2 linked regions of the Daphnia pulex genome follow. The protein of the gene in region 1 binds, or shares a complex with, the protein of each later gene. Links are inferred from orthologs where the notes say so. Each region holds a gene or a part of one and is shown on either strand. Other genes may lie near its edges.

What was found.
Region 2: acylglycerol kinase, mitochondrial-like (region 1) and mitochondrial import inner membrane translocase subunit Tim10 B-like share a complex: the UniProt entries of both Homo sapiens proteins name them as parts of the TIM22 complex. The link is inferred for Daphnia pulex from reciprocal best matches to the Homo sapiens genes AGK and TIMM10B.

What each region holds. Positions count from the first base shown.
Region 1 is NC_060017.1:2,648,308-2,656,560, forward strand, and holds acylglycerol kinase, mitochondrial-like, read right to left. Parts: upstream 5,433-8,253; 5' UTR 5,418-5,432; coding exon 5,410-5,417; intron 5,270-5,409; coding exon 5,087-5,269; intron 5,020-5,086; coding exon 4,900-5,019; intron 4,834-4,899; coding exon 4,773-4,833; intron 4,714-4,772; coding exon 4,545-4,713; intron 4,484-4,544; coding exon 4,424-4,483; intron 4,351-4,423; coding exon 3,943-4,350; intron 3,878-3,942; coding exon 3,722-3,877; intron 3,653-3,721; coding exon 3,366-3,652; 3' UTR 3,328-3,365; downstream 1-3,327. Other genes in the region: coiled-coil domain-containing protein 134-like, read left to right, coding at 2,330-2,474, 2,568-2,689, 2,750-2,834, 2,899-3,074, 3,154-3,327; trypsin-1-like, read right to left, coding at 5,819-5,913, 5,982-6,072, 6,154-6,300, 6,409-6,670, 6,747-6,847, 6,949-7,070, 7,142-7,193. UniProt on the Homo sapiens protein: Lipid kinase that can phosphorylate both monoacylglycerol and diacylglycerol to form lysophosphatidic acid (LPA) and phosphatidic acid (PA), respectively. Does not phosphorylate sphingosine. Phosphorylates ceramide.
Region 2 is NC_060022.1:1,977,915-1,985,999, reverse strand, and holds mitochondrial import inner membrane translocase subunit Tim10 B-like, read right to left. Parts: upstream 4,976-8,085; 5' UTR 4,885-4,975; coding exon 4,867-4,884; intron 4,799-4,866; coding exon 4,703-4,798; intron 4,626-4,702; coding exon 4,368-4,625; 3' UTR 4,340-4,367; coding exon of another isoform or gene 3,431-4,339; 3' UTR 3,373-3,430; downstream 1-3,372. Other genes in the region: putative zinc finger protein 66, read left to right, coding at 1-395, 456-587, 673-803; NADH dehydrogenase [ubiquinone] 1 alpha subcomplex subunit 2-like, read right to left, coding at 952-1,040, 1,107-1,213, 1,397-1,488; transcription initiation factor TFIID subunit 7-like, read left to right, coding at 1,896-1,994, 2,067-2,198, 2,255-2,335, 2,399-2,777, 2,846-2,985, 3,043-3,145, 3,202-3,371, 3,431-3,457; L-seryl-tRNA(Sec) kinase-like, read right to left, coding at 3,452-4,339; myosin-VIIa-like, read right to left, coding at 5,424-5,627, 5,696-5,865, 5,942-6,265, 6,336-6,537, 6,659-6,841, 7,278-7,415, 7,536-7,788, 8,052-8,085. UniProt on the Homo sapiens protein: Component of the TIM22 complex, a complex that mediates the import and insertion of multi-pass transmembrane proteins into the mitochondrial inner membrane.

The DNA of each region.
Region 1 (8,253 bases):
CCCCCCCTTCTTATTACTTATTCGCGTTCAGGCGTCCGCCGCCGTACCGTGAGCGATGACTGACTTGTTCGTCTCATCGATTCCTCCTCATCTCCTATAGTAGAGTCGCGCTTCTTTTAATTCGAGAGCCATAGTCTCTCAAGAATGTGGCAGTGTCTCACTACTACCACATCGCACAGAATTGATAAGAACCGGATTTTTCGCTTCATTATTTTTTGTTGAAATCATAAATTCACGAAAAGAACGGCGGGAAAACAAGAAATCGATCAACCCAAACCAGAGTTTCCACTGCTATCTGGAACAGTCTATAAAACAAGATTAATATCGACAAAAGAGGAGGAAATTTAATCCACGTGTCGGAGAATAGGGGACGATAAGTAGAACTCGGCAATTCACAACTCGGTGAATTAAATTATCGAGCACAAAAGGGGCGAACAAAAATGGAAAATAAAATATTATTAACTGGCCGCAAACACACGCCATCTTCCTTGACATAGTGGTGGTCCCTGCTGTCGGCAGTTATACTATATTTGCCCGCGATCAAGCTGTCGTGACGGCGTCACGAACGTGAAGTAGCGGGACACGCCGAAGCAACAAAAAGCAGGCTGGCAGGGCAATGCGCATTGACGTATTTCTGGGAATCGATGCCCGGCTGGGGCGATTGCTTTTTCCACAGTTGGGTTCGTTGACGATTATGAAGACATGAATCAAGCGCACAGTAGCAATAGCGAACAAGGCCTTGCTCCGTATTATTATTTGTGGGCATATTCAAATGACACACAAAACGAACCCGATGGATGGATTCGTCCTTTCTCAATAGTAGACACCCAGCAGTGGCATGGCGAACGAAAAAAAAAAACGGACAGCAACAAGAGAGTCTTTCGGAATAATAGCGGAGATCAAGTTTGACCACTTTTCAGCATCACTGGAGGGGCAGTTTTTTGTTTTTTTACGGCTTTTGAAGTTTACGACCTTCGGTGTGCCATGTGAAACTACAGAGAAAAAGATATAAGGTGCCCTAACTAAAATGGCGTGCTTGCCAGCTCATTCATGAGATCCCGCCATTATCATCGTAATTGAATCAAAGTATAGAACCGTGAAGATCGGCGATCATCCATCAAAGACATTAAATGGAGTCGATGTTTATCGTCACGACTCGGGCAGTCTGGGCACAGCAGTGTCACATCTGGCCGAGCAGCAACACGGTAACGCTTTTATATAGTTATATATGCATTAGTTACCTGACTTTGCAGTCTGCAGACTATTACTCTTGATCGCGGCCCAATAATATAATGAAAGGTGGACTCGACTCACGCAAGAGCGGCTGCCAAGAACTTGGCCACGAAACGGGCGGGTGTCCTTCGCCGACAGTATAACAGACTTTTGACGTGCTCGACCTTTGCGTGCTGGCCAGGGTACGGCACACTCACACGAGTCGTGACCACCGTACCCAAATCCAGCAGAATACGAACGCACACATTTAATGTTCTCCACCGTCGTGCTTTACATGTAATGCGTATTCATAAATCAAACTGTCATTCTACTTTGTCTACAGTCCAAACAACAACAGCTGGCTAACACACACCGGACTAATTTCTTCGAAAATCTCTCGCGATTCTTGAATTTCTGTGATTTCATTTGCTACCTTCTTTTGGATTCAACAGATAAAGACAACGCGATCAATCAAGCCAACAGCTCGTTTGCAAAGAGCCAAAGACATACTAGTTCTAAAAATATTTCCTAAGACATTTTTGGAACGCCAACAGCATCAGCAATCGTTCTCGAATCACCATTCAAGATGAGAACTTTCACACTTTACAACTCGCGTAACACTTCTTTTTGCTCTGTGATCTTGCCAAATAACACGTAACATTTAAAAAAACCAACCGTCTAATAACTATGTTTCAATGTCAAAGCGTGGGGGTCACAAAAAAACAATTACAAGAGAAGTTACGTGACTTACATCAATGTGTTCATGGATGATCGATGAAGCAATCATGCCGCCATTATTGTTTTAACTCTCTACACACAACTCTACGTAATTATCTGGTAATCAGAACTCACCTAGGGACGAGTGATGGTGGATACTGATGAAACTGTAAATGGATATTCCAAATTTACAGAGCAAACGAGTTTTTTTTTATTCACGATTTCTGGCAAGCACCACACGTGCTTGTGATTCAACTACTTCGATCGCACTCGCACTCTCGCAGTTACCACTTGCTGCAAGCAACAGGAGTACAGGACGCCATCTGCAGGAAAGAAATCAATCGAGTAATGCAGACGACATACAATTCACAACAACCTGCGATTTTGGGAAAATTCTGACATGGCGGGGCATTCGAACAATTTTTGCTACATTTTGTTGTTTTGTGCATCATTGGTAAGTGCTGGCGACAAAATAAGTCCCTCAGATCAAACGAAAACTGTTCCAGTAACTCGGGGAAATATAAATTCTAACGCGGTTGCTCTGTGTAAGTATTACGTTTCCTCTCATTATAATAGCCTTGTACCCACCAGTGTGAGTTTCTTGGTTATTCATGCCTTTTCAATTGTGTCTCCATTAGTTGATAGATTGTTCCAACTTAAAAGAAGTGAACAGAAAGATGCAGTTCAACGGATTGCAGAAGTCAAATCAATTGAAAAACAACGCAAGCTTCTGGAACTTGTCATAACCAAAATCATGGAGGTTGTTAGACTAACATTTCAGAAAACGGAAAAAGGCTGTAATTAATTCAAGTTTTTGTAGGTTCTAACTCATAGTAGAATCAAGCTGGAAAGCTCTGGCTATCTTCCAGAATCTGATTTTCCTCAAGATGAATCTCTTCGTGATGGTATTATTTATTGGTTTTATTATTCTGAAATTATAGCTAATGATGATGAGGCATTTTAAAATAGCTCTGTCAAGCATGATAGAAAATACTGCATTTATGGGGGATCTTGTGCTCTATTTACCTGATGCAACAAAAGCGTTTCTTAAAAATAATGAATGGAATACCATATTCAAATGGAGTTTAAGTATTTGTCAACAGTCTGTCTTTTTGAGCACTGCAACAAAGAAAATGCTGCACTTGGTAAATTTCAATGTTTCTTTAATCAAACCATTCTAGTGTTATTCATCTTCTTAATGCTTGACATTTGAAAATATTGCAGGTTGCGCAAGAATTAAATTTGGTCGAACGAGAATCAAATTATTTTAATCCATACGCAGAGGCAAATCGAAAGAAACCAGATCCTTTACCCGAAAATGTCGAAAAGAAGAAAGTGAGAAAGAAAATATCTAAAGGTCCTTCTTTATCGGGATCAAGATTAAAAAATGAATTGTGAAAGCTATATAAATTGTTTTATTTTCTTATAAATACAATTTATCTACTGGTAGATGCGCTAAAAACTTTAATGGCGTCTGGTAAAACGGTGACTCGAATTGGTTTAACTTCGTAGTTGTCATTGTCTATCGAATACCACCTTTCTTCAACTTCAACACTTTTTCCCTCTTCAGTTGTTTCCTTTTCCGCTATCGAACTTTCTTCAATTTTAGGGATCATTTCAAATTGGCGTACGAGAATCTTTTCGCGATTATTTTGACTGGTCTCTGTTTTGGTCCTTAACCAACCCTCTTTCACGAACTCAAATCCACTTATATTTTCAGGTCCTAAGTGAGAGAGTGAATTTTTTTTTTAATTATCACTCACAGGTTTCAGCTATTTAAAAGATGTTTTACCAAGATTGACTTCCAAATGTTTCGGTAGATTTGGAGGACTGAAATTTACATTGTTTTCGGTTAGAACTTGGAACTCTACGGATGAGAAATCCTTCTGATGCCATACCCCACATTCGGGATTAACAACTTTTGAATAATCTTTGACTTGTTTTGTATCTAGAGAAATTTGTAAATAATATGTTAAGATAACGTGAATGACCTGATAAAAGGAATACAATTACCTTTGACGGATCTAGTTCGTGGTATAAAAGCATGCCACCATCGAGAATTCTGTACTTGCGAACCAAATTTCAGCTCATTTGCATCTTGCAAATTGTTTCTCATACAGTTATTACAACCCTCACACGGTACGGTATAGTGAAACTGTGCATTGCACTCCCACGTGAGATTTTTGAAAGCTCCAAAGAAATAGGCGGCATATGACTTCAGTGGTCCCCACAACCAGTATTTCCCAATTCTTTCCTCGACATCTCGAAATGCTCCCCATTTCAGTTCACCAAGTGCGTAAACTGGTTTTCCAGTAGGATTTTCTGAATTTTCCAATATTTCTACCTTCATAACATCTACCTGTTTTTGAAAGTCTCTTATTATTGCCATAGTTGCTTCAGCCATGAGTTTGATTCTATCATCTGAAAAGAGACCAAGGGGTAATAGTAGAATCAATTAAAAGCTGCATTTTTAAACCATCAAAATATTGCATACCTTTATGTTCTTTAAAGATAGATTTTGCAATGTTATTGAGTTTTCCTACAGGGATGATACCTGGAGAAGAAACATATTTTCAAACAAAATGTTTAGGGAAATATATAATTCATTGTGATACCAATAGGAAATCGTTGGACTGCTAACCCACTATCATTCCTTCTCAGCAATCCAGTTACAGCTTCTGTTATGGCTCCATCTCCACCAGCAACAACTACTGCATCACAGTTATCCATCACTTCCATCAATCCCCTGGCTTCTCCAACAGATTCAGTTTTGACCACACTGACCTGGAATAGAGAATGAGAACTTATTAAGGTCAAACAAAAATAAATAATGAGACTCAAACCTTCATTCCAGAAAGATAAAGTAATGGAGCACAATAATCCTCAAATTCTGATTTGCCTTTCCTATACACATTTAAAATTAACTTTTAAAAACGTCAAAGTGATTTGAGAAAATATTAAGTGCAGCACCCTCCATTTGAAGCGGGATTCAACACTACAGTTATTTGGCGAGCAGGTAGTCCTATAGGAAGTGGAACATCCCCATAGCTTTTAGCTTCCTCACAATAAAGTCTCAACATCTCTTTAGTCCTGCACCAATGGGAGAAATATTTTAAGACATAATCATTGGTAAAATACATTTCACTTCTATGAGTACCTGAATTTTGTGACGCCATAGTTTACTCCATAAGAAACGAGGAGAAAACCAACGGTTGATTTCTTCCAATTATTTCGCAGGGTTTTGAAAATGCGAACGATCCTTGCCATGTTGAAGTTCAGGCGGTTCAGGTCTCGCCGTGTTTTGAAAATAACGTTCTGCAGACGACGTATTTTTCGACATCTATTGGTAAACGGATAAAGTGTTTCAATTTTTTCTTCCACAATCAACTCACAATCGCGCAGATATTCCCATATCATAAATAAATAAGGCAAAATATTGTCAGTCGATCAAAATGCAACGATATCAATATGTTTGCATACGTTTTCATGTGGATCTTGATCTCCAATGTCCGATCAAGTACCGTACGTTTTCTTTCTCTCGCTTTCTCTAATTAGGCCTACACAAACGGGTTTATTGGGAGTATTGGGGAATAAACTTTTCAAAATTCATCCACGCTACCTTTTTTCGATAACGCAAAAAAGTAGGATTATGGACGCCCCACCAGATGTTTTCCTTGGATTGGATTGGATTGGACCATGTGTTCACTAGTAACGCAAAATGAAAGTTTGTTGCCTTTTGAAAATTTGATTTACATACATTTTATTCAGATAGCAAAGTTTCTCTCATATTTGATATTTCAATATTGTACAAAAATAATTACGTATGTTTATCGTTAGATTTGCGTGCCCATTTTTTTATTTTAAAATTTAGCCACATTTTATTAATTATTCAATTACGAGATGTTTGTGTTGTTGTGGAAGCTTCCGCCGTTGATAATTTCATATTAATCCATCCGATATAAGCCGAAACTTCGGTGTAAACACCTTATTAAAAGATAGCGAAAAATCAACAAGATCATTCAATAAATTTATTGCAAAGTGTTGTAATTTACCGGGATAATCAGGTTGACCACAGCCTTTACCCCAAGACACAATACCAACAAGAGTTTTGTCACCCAACATGAGCTGTCCACCAGAATCTCCCTATATTTTTGTAAAATTTTGGTGTCATTATTTAATATCAGACTTAAATTAACTTATCAGAATTAAATTTTCTGCATATACCTGACACGAATCATAGCCTCCGGATGTATATCCAGCGCATAGCATGGAATCAACAATTAGCCCTGCACCATAAATTAAGCGGCAGTCTTCGTCGGATACCACAGGAACTGTCGTTTTTAGTAGCACATTAGATAAATTCCCTCCTTCCTGCATAAGCGAATTTATTTCAGCATCCTCGAGTTTAAATTATTCATGCGCTTAAAGTTCTCAAAAGAGATGAGCCTTAAATTAATGAATTTATTATTAAACGCGTACTTTTGTGGTTCCCCAACCTGCGACCGTAACGGCCGTGTCTGGATGAGTAAAGTAGCCGGATCTAGGAAGTTTAACTTGTTTCAAGTAAGAGTTGAATACGAAGGCTCCATTTAATCGAATTATTCCAATATCATTCCTCAGGTAATCTGGGTCATATTCTTCGTGAAGAACAAATTGGACTGCTCTCAGCTCTTGTTCATAACCACTAACGAGATCTAACCTGTGTTCGCCAGCAACCGCCCAAACTCCAATTGGATGAAGCCTATATAGTACGTGAATCTTGCGGTTATTATCATTCAAACTTTCTCTTGGTGAAATTTAAAACGTATTGCTTATACTCTTCTAAACAATGAGCCGCAGTGATGATACTGCTCGCATCTGCTATCGAACCGGCACAAAAATGAGAACGCCCGAAAAAGCCATTTCTCTGCAACGAAACCTTTAAAGGATGAAGAAGAAAAGAGTTACGTACCAACAATGAGTCACAATACTAGAAATAACGACAACATTTTCAAATTTAGCGAGAGAAAATTAACGAACCATCCAGGGGAATTCTCCTTCTTTCGCATCGGCTCCACCGATGATGCGTCCATCACGTTTAGTTCTTATTAGTTCAGTATCAAGGAAAACACTCAAGGGAAACCGTGCGAGACTGCTGGCTGCTTTCAAAAAACGTATTTGTTAATAAAATATTGCACCATAACTCCCCTGACCATTGCAAAACTGAATTCACCTGTAGCAGTTACCGTAAATACCGTTAAGAAGAGCACCAGGTATATCTTCATTGCTTGCTGAAATGCGAAAGCGTGGGCCTGTGTTGGATGCCTTTGTTACACGCAACGAATGTAAAACTCACTATTTTAGGTGAACTGTAACCAAGAACTGAACCAGTACTTTGATATTTCAACGTTTTTAAAGCTTCTTCGTGACGCAAAAACATTTCAAATCAAGATATAACGCGTTTTCTTATGTCTGTGTTGCTATGGCACAAACTGTCGGCATTATCTTCAAGTTCAAACAGAATCTTGATATTTAGTATCATCGTGACACTATACTAGAAACCGGAAACGATAAAATCACGTACCACTTTAGATAATATTTTAATCGGACTCAAAATAGGAGGCAAAATATTTTTCCATATTTTACCGCTAACCTTTTAATTTCGGCACAAGCAGCCATAATCCTAATAACGTACGAGTGAAACATATACTATATACAAAATCAACATACATAGTAGTTCATACGAAAAGCCTAGACTTGAACATAAAACTTTATTCGGATGCGAAGCCGTAGCCTAATCGCCGGTTCACACAATAAATTACTGATATTAATTTCATCATAGCTATTTTAATTCTCTGCTGAATCTAGGATGGTCTAGTCTAGCTAAGCAATTTTCTCTGCGCGTCACTTGTTGCTGTACATAGTGTGACTCCGCAATCGTACTTTATATGAAAAGAAACCGACAAGTTACGAATTAACCCACATCAAATAAAAGTCAGTGGTGGTCTTGCATAAAACAATTTCTGTGAAAGGGTCTCTATATACGTCACGTACAAAAATAAATTATCAGCCAAAGTGTGGCGAACACGAACACTGCTTCATTTCAAAAATGGAAAGCGCACATTATATAAAGGATTAAAATACACATTCGCGCTTTTGGCGTTTGTTTTTTTAGGTCAATCCACAATTCCACATCAATGTGTCAAACGGTTTATTCTACTCTCCGTGGATTTACTTTTCTCTTTACTATGGTGAAATTTGTTCTTGTTTTTATACTGGAGCAGGGAAGTCTTCCTCTTGACACCATTGGAACGTTGTTAGATTAGAAACCAGAATGAGGTGCTA
Region 2 (8,085 bases), on another chromosome or scaffold:
AATAAACAAAGAGGGAACTGAAGAAAATAAAGAAGCTCAAGAATGTTGCACTAGCAAACCGTTGGTGCATACAGTTGAAAAAGAAACAAAAAATACTGGGCACTCTAGCCGTGATAAACATCTTTGCACCGAGTGTGGAGCGAACTTTGTATCTATGCTAAAGTACATGGACCACCTTAATCGTCATACTGGGAATAAGCCATATGTTTGTGAAGAATGTAACAAACAGTTCTTTACCTTGTCATATTTAAGAAATCATCAAAAACTACACTCTGCTGACTATCAATTCATTTGTGAGTTCTGTGGCAAAGCTTTCAGATTAAAAAATAATCTGCAAATGCACGAACTGACTCACACAAAGGAGAAACCATTTAAGTGTGATCTTTGTGATAAAGGTAATTAACCATTGTGGATCTTAGTTTTTAAATTTACTTACTAATTCATTTTGCGTTTAGCATATACTCACCCAATGAATTTGAAGATACACAAACAAGAACATACAGGTGCGAAACCATTCCAGTGTGAAACTTGCGGTAGATGTTTCCGAACAACACACCGACTTAAAACCCATAAAATGTCTCACACAGGTACGGCTGTCAATTTTTTATAACCAGAGCACATTGCCAAATTGAAATATCTATTATTATAATATGAATTTACAATTTAAACTAGGTGAAAAAGCTTTCAGTTGTCTAAACTGTGAATCAAAATTCACAAGCAATTCTAAAGTAAAAAGACATATGAACCTCCATTGCAAATTTTCCAAAGGAACAAAGCCACCTGCTGGTGATGAAAATGAATAACTATAGACCAGGCTAAATCAATATAAGATTGAATTAAGTGTCAAATGGTGATAATGAAAATAAACTATGAAATATGGCAAGGACTGTGTAAATTTTTCATCCTAACTTTTCTATTTACACAATACTTCTACAAATAAAGAACAATATTTTACTTCTTTAGAACAAGACTTTCCAAAACTGAGTGAACTTTCTCAGCAGACAGGTTCATTACTGGGGCACTTACTTCCAGGCCTTTCTCTATAAATTAAAAAGACAATTAAGGTAATTTTTACTATGAATCCAAATTAGAATATGTAAACCAACCATGTCGGGCACAGATTTTTGGCAGGATACCACTGCATTCCCTGATGAGGATAGGTGTTTTGGGATTGGTTTTCTTCAAGTCGATGTAATGCTTTTCAATGAAATCTCTAAAATGAATAGTAATAACACCATGAAGATGAAGAGTTAAAATGATAAAATTAAGGGAATGACTGAATGAGACTATTCTCTACGATTACACCATGATTATACGTCTACACAGAATAATTCACGTCTTTCACAATAAAAGATTATTCGCATTTTACATTTCATTTAACACACTCTTCATTTACCTAACCCCTTTGCTGGCGTCTGACTTTTGGCAAAGATGAATCCGAATCTCTTTCACATGGGGCAAAATTTTTACTGCTCTAGCGGCTGCCATGTTGGAAAAGTTTTTGCAGACTCGACAACAAAACAAACTCGAGAATCGAGATTCGAGATATCTTGCTCTTGATCCTAGCGGCGAGCAACAAAAGTAAAGAGTTATTTCTTATTTGAAAAGTATTCTGATCCCCGTTTTGTCTTAGATAAATTTATTTTCTCTTTAAATTACCAATTATTAAATAGAAATGAATCCTGGAACAATAGTTTAGTAATACAAAAGTATGAAAGTATAGCAACGTCTAAAATACAGTACAACGCTGACGTTGCTACACGGCCTACGCCTACAGTGACAGTCCGACATTGTTGTGGCGTCTGCTCGTGAACGACGAATCACGAATATTTGATTCTAATTTTTATAGTGACTCGTGATATAATAATATTAGTGGTAGGCTCAATTGTTAAAAAATGAATAGACCTACAGTTCTACCACCTAGCAGTACAAATGATAATGGAGGAGATGAGTTGGAAAATCAGTTTATATTGAGACTCCCACCAACCTTACCAGTGAGTTCTTTGGACACTTGTATTCACATTATTATTGTCTTAAACTGAAATTCTTTAATGTGTTTGTGGTAGGAATGTGCCGAAAGTTTGCGACAAACTCTAAGGACAGGTGTGATGAATCTGAAGGACCGCCTAAATATTAGAATGGATAATGACATGAGGAAAGGACAGGTTCAGTTTGACAATTGGACTATGTCTGCCAAGGTGTTATTCTTAATTAGAGTATTTGATATTCAATTGTAAAACAAATATTTACTTAGGTTTTAGATCTTCCATGTGTCATGGAATCTCAAAAAACCATTGACAATAAAACATTTTACAAAGCCGCTGATGTCAGCCAGGTGAGTAATAATTCAATTCAAATTCTTAGAATATTGATTTTACCTGATATTTAAAATTTGAAGATATTGATTTGTAAAGAAGGAGAACAACAGTCAAGTAGTGAAGAAGAAACTCCTGTTAAACCAAAGAAAAAAGATCCTCATAAGGTCGATAAAAAATTCCTTATGCCTCACGGCATAGCTCCACCAATGAAGAATGTCAGGAAAAGGAGATTTCGAAAAACCCTTAAAAAGAAGTACGTTGAGGCTCCTGAAATCGAAAAAGAAGTCAGGCGCCTACTGCGTGTTGATAATGAAGCGGTAAGTGTACGATGGGAACTGATCACAGAAGAAGATGAATCTAAGGTAAAGGCAGCCAATGAAGCTGGGTTGGGAGATGGGGCAGCAATGACCGTCCCTCTTGCATCCGGAACATTCGTTAGCACACAAAACCGTGGCTTGGGTATGTTTTGTAAAAACCAACGGTTTTCAGCACTCGTTCAAATTGCTTCATACTTCTGTTATCTATAGCCGAACACGATATTTTTGGTGAGGCACTAAGCGACTCAGATGAAGAACATGGAAGCAAGATCAACATTATGGAATCAGACTACGAAAACAGTGACGAATCCCGTGGATCGGGTTCGGAGTTCTATGCAGGAAGCAACAGGGTACCAAATTTAAAATAATTAAATTTGTTTCGATAGTTGTTACATTCTCTTTTTTAGGGGTCCAATTCTATGATAACCCAATTTAGCGGAGATATGTTTCGGGATGACAGCAGTTCTTCTAATCTATCTCCACAAAAAAAGGTCATCGACACACAAAAAGGTAAACATTTCAAATTTGTTTTTCTGCTTTAAAAATTAATATCATTTGTCGTTAAGACGATTTGCAAAAAATGGCTGATAAACTGAGGGATGAAATCCGTGAGATCAAGAACATGAGACAAGCTCAAGAAAACGAGCTAGCTACAATTGAAAACGCCGCCCTCAAGCAAAGATTTCAGATGGCTCTTTCAAAACTTGTTGCTCAGGAACAAGAGAAAAAGGAAGAGGTGATCTCTATTGTGTTGTTTATTATTATTTCAGCTATTTTTAACAAATTGTATTCTAGTATGACCAAATCATGTCCATGTTATAACGGACACCTCTGGATAAAAGCTGAAATGGACCAAACCTCAAGGATAGATAAATCGATGGATCCATCCGCCTTCAGAATGTCTGTCGGGATTGCAATGGCGCCTGTTTTGATCCCTTCCAAAATAGATTGTCGAGTGTCGTTTAGTTGTGCTGCCAATACACGAGCGTCTTTTTCTTCTTTACGTTCGCGTATACATTGGTTTAATCTTTTTCTAAGAACTTTGTCGATATTGTGAAAGATGTTGTGATCGTTGCGTAGTTTGCTTTGCTCGGACGCAAGCTTCTTTTCTTCTAGAGTCTTCAATGTTGAGACAGGACTATCCACAGCATTCTGGATGTAATTCCATATCTTGTTCAATATTTCTGTATCATTTAAATCAATGTGTCCAATCGTCAAAGAATTTTCCCACGCTTCACAGGGATCTTCAAATTTGGTGTTCATTTGAGTGATTACAATGTCAGGAACACGGCTGCTTTGCGGACGACTGTTGTTTTGGAGTAACGCTTCAGACACTTCGCATTTGACATAAATTTGAAGGTAGCCTGTGTAGAATTTGGCCGCTAACTGATGATATTCATACCGCATACTTCGATAGTAGTTGTTATCATCAACAATTACGACACACTTTTTGGAAGAAGGATTGGGCACTTTCAAGAAAGACTCCACAGTGTCTTTCATCTCGCGACGGTAATGCTTTGTTATTTCACTAGATGACGAAACAGCAATTTCAGCCTGTTTTTCTAAACTCACAATAGTATCAAAAGTTGCACAATTCACAATGCAATTGTTTTCTGTTAAAAAACTACATAATCTTCCTGCTAACCAGCTCTTTCCACTGGCAGGCAAACCTAGTAACACCACAATGCAATAACACTGATTCATTTCTGTCCTGTTGGTATGTGTCACTATTTTACACAACTTGAGGCTCTAAAGATGAGGTCTCTTGTGAAACATGTTGAGGCTCAGTTTCTGCTATTATGACTGACTGTGCAACTGTGTTAATTTCAGCAACTTCAGGAATAGTTTCTGCGACTGCTTGTGGTGGGTTAAGTTTCTCCATCTCTTCCACTCGCTTTTGCACAATTAGAGGTTGAACTTCCATATACACAGACATGATTTTATGGTTGACTCTAATGTTCTTCGTTGAGCACATTTCAACACATTTATCCTAAAAAAAAGCAAAAACAAAAAAATAACTATTGGTCTGATATGTTATGAAAGAGAAACCTCATGTTCTTAGCCTACCTCATCTTCAGTCAGCTCTCTAGTCTGAAATGTGTTCACGCATCGCGTGAAACAAGTTTCTGACATTTTGTTGAACACTAAGAGAAAATCTTTAAACTAGGAAGAAGAGATCAATTAACTTTCTGGCATTAATTACAATTCAAATACATTTTCTAAAAACTTACGTTCCTGAGTGCATCCATTTCGAATTACTTTCCACAAATTGACAATTCATGTCGTCTGCAAAACATATGGCTCACCGGGTTGCCACATTAGCCGAAACGTCAACATATCCGTATTTTGTTTAAAAAAATTTAAAAATTAATTTACTTGTTTATCTATTGATTTCGAGTGTAAAATGCTTTATTATAATTCTTCATTTTTCAAATAACATATACATAAATTTGTTAAAAGACGATTATGAGGGCGATGAAAACTGCAAAGGGGAAACGGGATCGTTCCTTGCTTTTGAGGAGAGCTAGCGAAGCATGCATTGACAATAGTAGACCCCGTCAAAAGCAGATGACCCCGGTGTCAATTAAAAATAATTCAAAAAAAAACACGGAAAACTAGGTAGTGGCAAAATATCGCAAAATTCAGAAACTATTCACAAAGTTGCTAATTCTCGTGATGGAAAATCAATCTATAAACTGACCAAAGGAACGAAGCTCATCTCGATAGCCAACATTTACGTTCTCGTTTGAATGGGATAAAATGGTGAAGAATAAGAGCGAGCAAATTATTAGAGCCGCATGGACTTTTGCTTGTTCATGGTATTCAACATCAAGGAGATGTAGGAGGTGAGCAAGTCGTCCATCTTGTAGCCGAGCGAGGTTTCGCACAGCAATTTCGATCCTCGCACCAGGTTGCCGATAGTCATGTGGAAGTAAGTGTTGCCCGAAGACCAGTTGGAGATGCGCGTGAACGGGTGAGTCACCAAAATGTCCTAGAACACGAACAAATGTTAATTCCGAGTTCAAAAAAGAAAGATAATGGCGGGTGTGCGATATTCACCTTAGTCTGTGGATGGATCAGACAGACTCCGCTTTTGTTGATGGCAATCAAAAGCTGTTCGGGGAAATTGGGCTCGGTCGTTTGTTTGACTTCGAAGAAGGCCGAACCAAACGTTGGCCAGCGGTAAATAATCTTTAGAAAGTTGATCTTGGCGTCTTCGGCACTCATTCCTAAAATGTTCAATTCAAAACGATGTGGCGTCAACACCAAATGGAATCAAGTCAATCATTCAATCAAATGTCAAACCTGAATCTTGAGCGTGAGCAGCCGTGATAGTTTTCTTCCAATCATTGTTGCCTAAAAGTTTGATCAGATCGGCCGGGACCAGGTCGCGTAGCATTTGCGGCACGTTGGCCAGCTCGGCTTTGCTCTCGCCGAAGCGGACGCGGTAAATGAAAGCGGCCAGACGGATGGCTTCGTCCTTGTTGCAGCGGTGATAGCCTCTCAGCAGTTTAGGCAACTCTTGGTGGAAATGGAAGATGGTATCGGCGTTGCGGTCTTTGCCCGGCACGGTGTTGGTCCACAGTTTCTTCATGAAAAACACTTGGTAGGTGAATTGAGGCGTGATACCTGTCCAGGCCATAAACATATAATAAAGAAAAAGGGATAACGATAAAATTGTAGACGATGTGAACGTTACCGTCTTTGGTCGGTTTGGCCTTTTTGATCCAGTCCGTCAAGTGGCGGACGAAATCAAAGAAAAAGTCTTCTTCGGGCACCGAAATGACCTTGTCGGCAATCTTGACAAAGAGACTGAAACCTTCGTCCGACTTGAGTGCCAGTCGCTGCGAGATGCTTTGGCAAAAGTCTTTAGCTCTGGTGGAAGAATCGACTTCAAAGGCCTGGAATTGCGCATAAAAACATTGAAAAGAGAACAGAAAATATAAAACAACCCAATGAAATTGAAACGATGTTGTTGACACTCAAAGTGAGAGGGGAAAAAAGAAAATTCCGAGTATTCACCTCGTCCGTGTCGTCGGGGAAATAAACTTTGTGAAAGATTTGCGTCGTTTTGTGCTGGATGGCTTCCACTTCCACCTGATGAGGCGGGTACTTTCTCTGTCCGTGTCGCAGCGTCTTTTGCAGCCGCTGAAGCGAGTCGGTGGCGATCGGATGACGGCGCGTCCGCAAGAATAGCGTCAATTCCTTTTTCGGGAAAAAACCAAACAAACAAAAACAAAACAGACGTGACAAGTGAAACGAATGTCGGGAGTAGATATCACGCTGTGCGCTGGGCGGCCGCGCCGAGCCCGAAATAAATAATAATACAACATTTCAGAAGAACGCTGGAAGCATATCGCTGTCGTTTACATCTCACACCTGTTGGACGCAACGTCAAAAAACCGAGGCGACAGATGGTCCGTGCCAAGGTCAAAAGACAAGCAAACAAATAAACTGCGGCAGCAGATGGGCAGCAGTGCCGAAGAAAAAAACCAACGTCCATTATAGAAAAATGCGGGCTTTTTAAAAATGCTTATTGACGGTCTAATGAGGTGATATCCGAGAGGCACGCGAACCCGGACCAAAACCCCCCATATAACTGTAAAAAAAAGTGGAGGCAAAATTCAAACCAGTGACGTACTTTGAGTAGGTTTTGCGAGCAGGCGAACAATCCGGTAGCCAACCACATCAATTCCCATCCGCGTTCTTCGCTCAATCGATTGCGATTGTCAGTCAGTTGTTTCATGATTTGGCAGTACACCTCGTCTCGTAATTGTTCCTGTATATAGTCAAAGCACAGTTGGCAGCGATTATGATGATGTCGGTGAAACGAGTCCAACTCGTTTATTCAGCCCCACGAAATGTTTGAATGGAGAGATGACGAATTTTCGGTGCTTACGTGTTTCAAGGGTCCCTCGAAGATCTGGTCGGTCAGTTCATTGGCCGAGCGGGCCCGACGGTAAGGAATGTCACCCATGTACTTCAAACAAGCCTGGAATGCGAAAATGGCTTCGTGACTCAATTCCTCCTTGGACGATAATTTGCGAAGCAGCGGCAGTTTGAGGGGATCACGCGAATGACGCCACAGCTCGTCGTGACTCCCGCGACGAGCCGCCGTCAATCCCTTGGGCACAGTCTTCTTCTGCGGCGGGCTGTATTATATAGAATGTGTATTAGAATAATATCGTCGAATTTGATTTTTTCCCGGTTGTTTTCAAATAACACGTTGGAAAAAAGAAACAACCGATGATGCGGGTTCCAAAAATTGATAAGGGAAAATGAAAAGGGGCGAAAAAATGTACTATAGAAGGGGGGCAGCACACAAATTGGTGGAGATTATTATTGTTATCTTCTATACAATTTATTCAGGGGGGAAAGAAAAAGTAATTCAAGCAAACGTGTGATGGTATCTCACCGGAAGTGATCGACTGCGTACTCCTCCAGGGTGT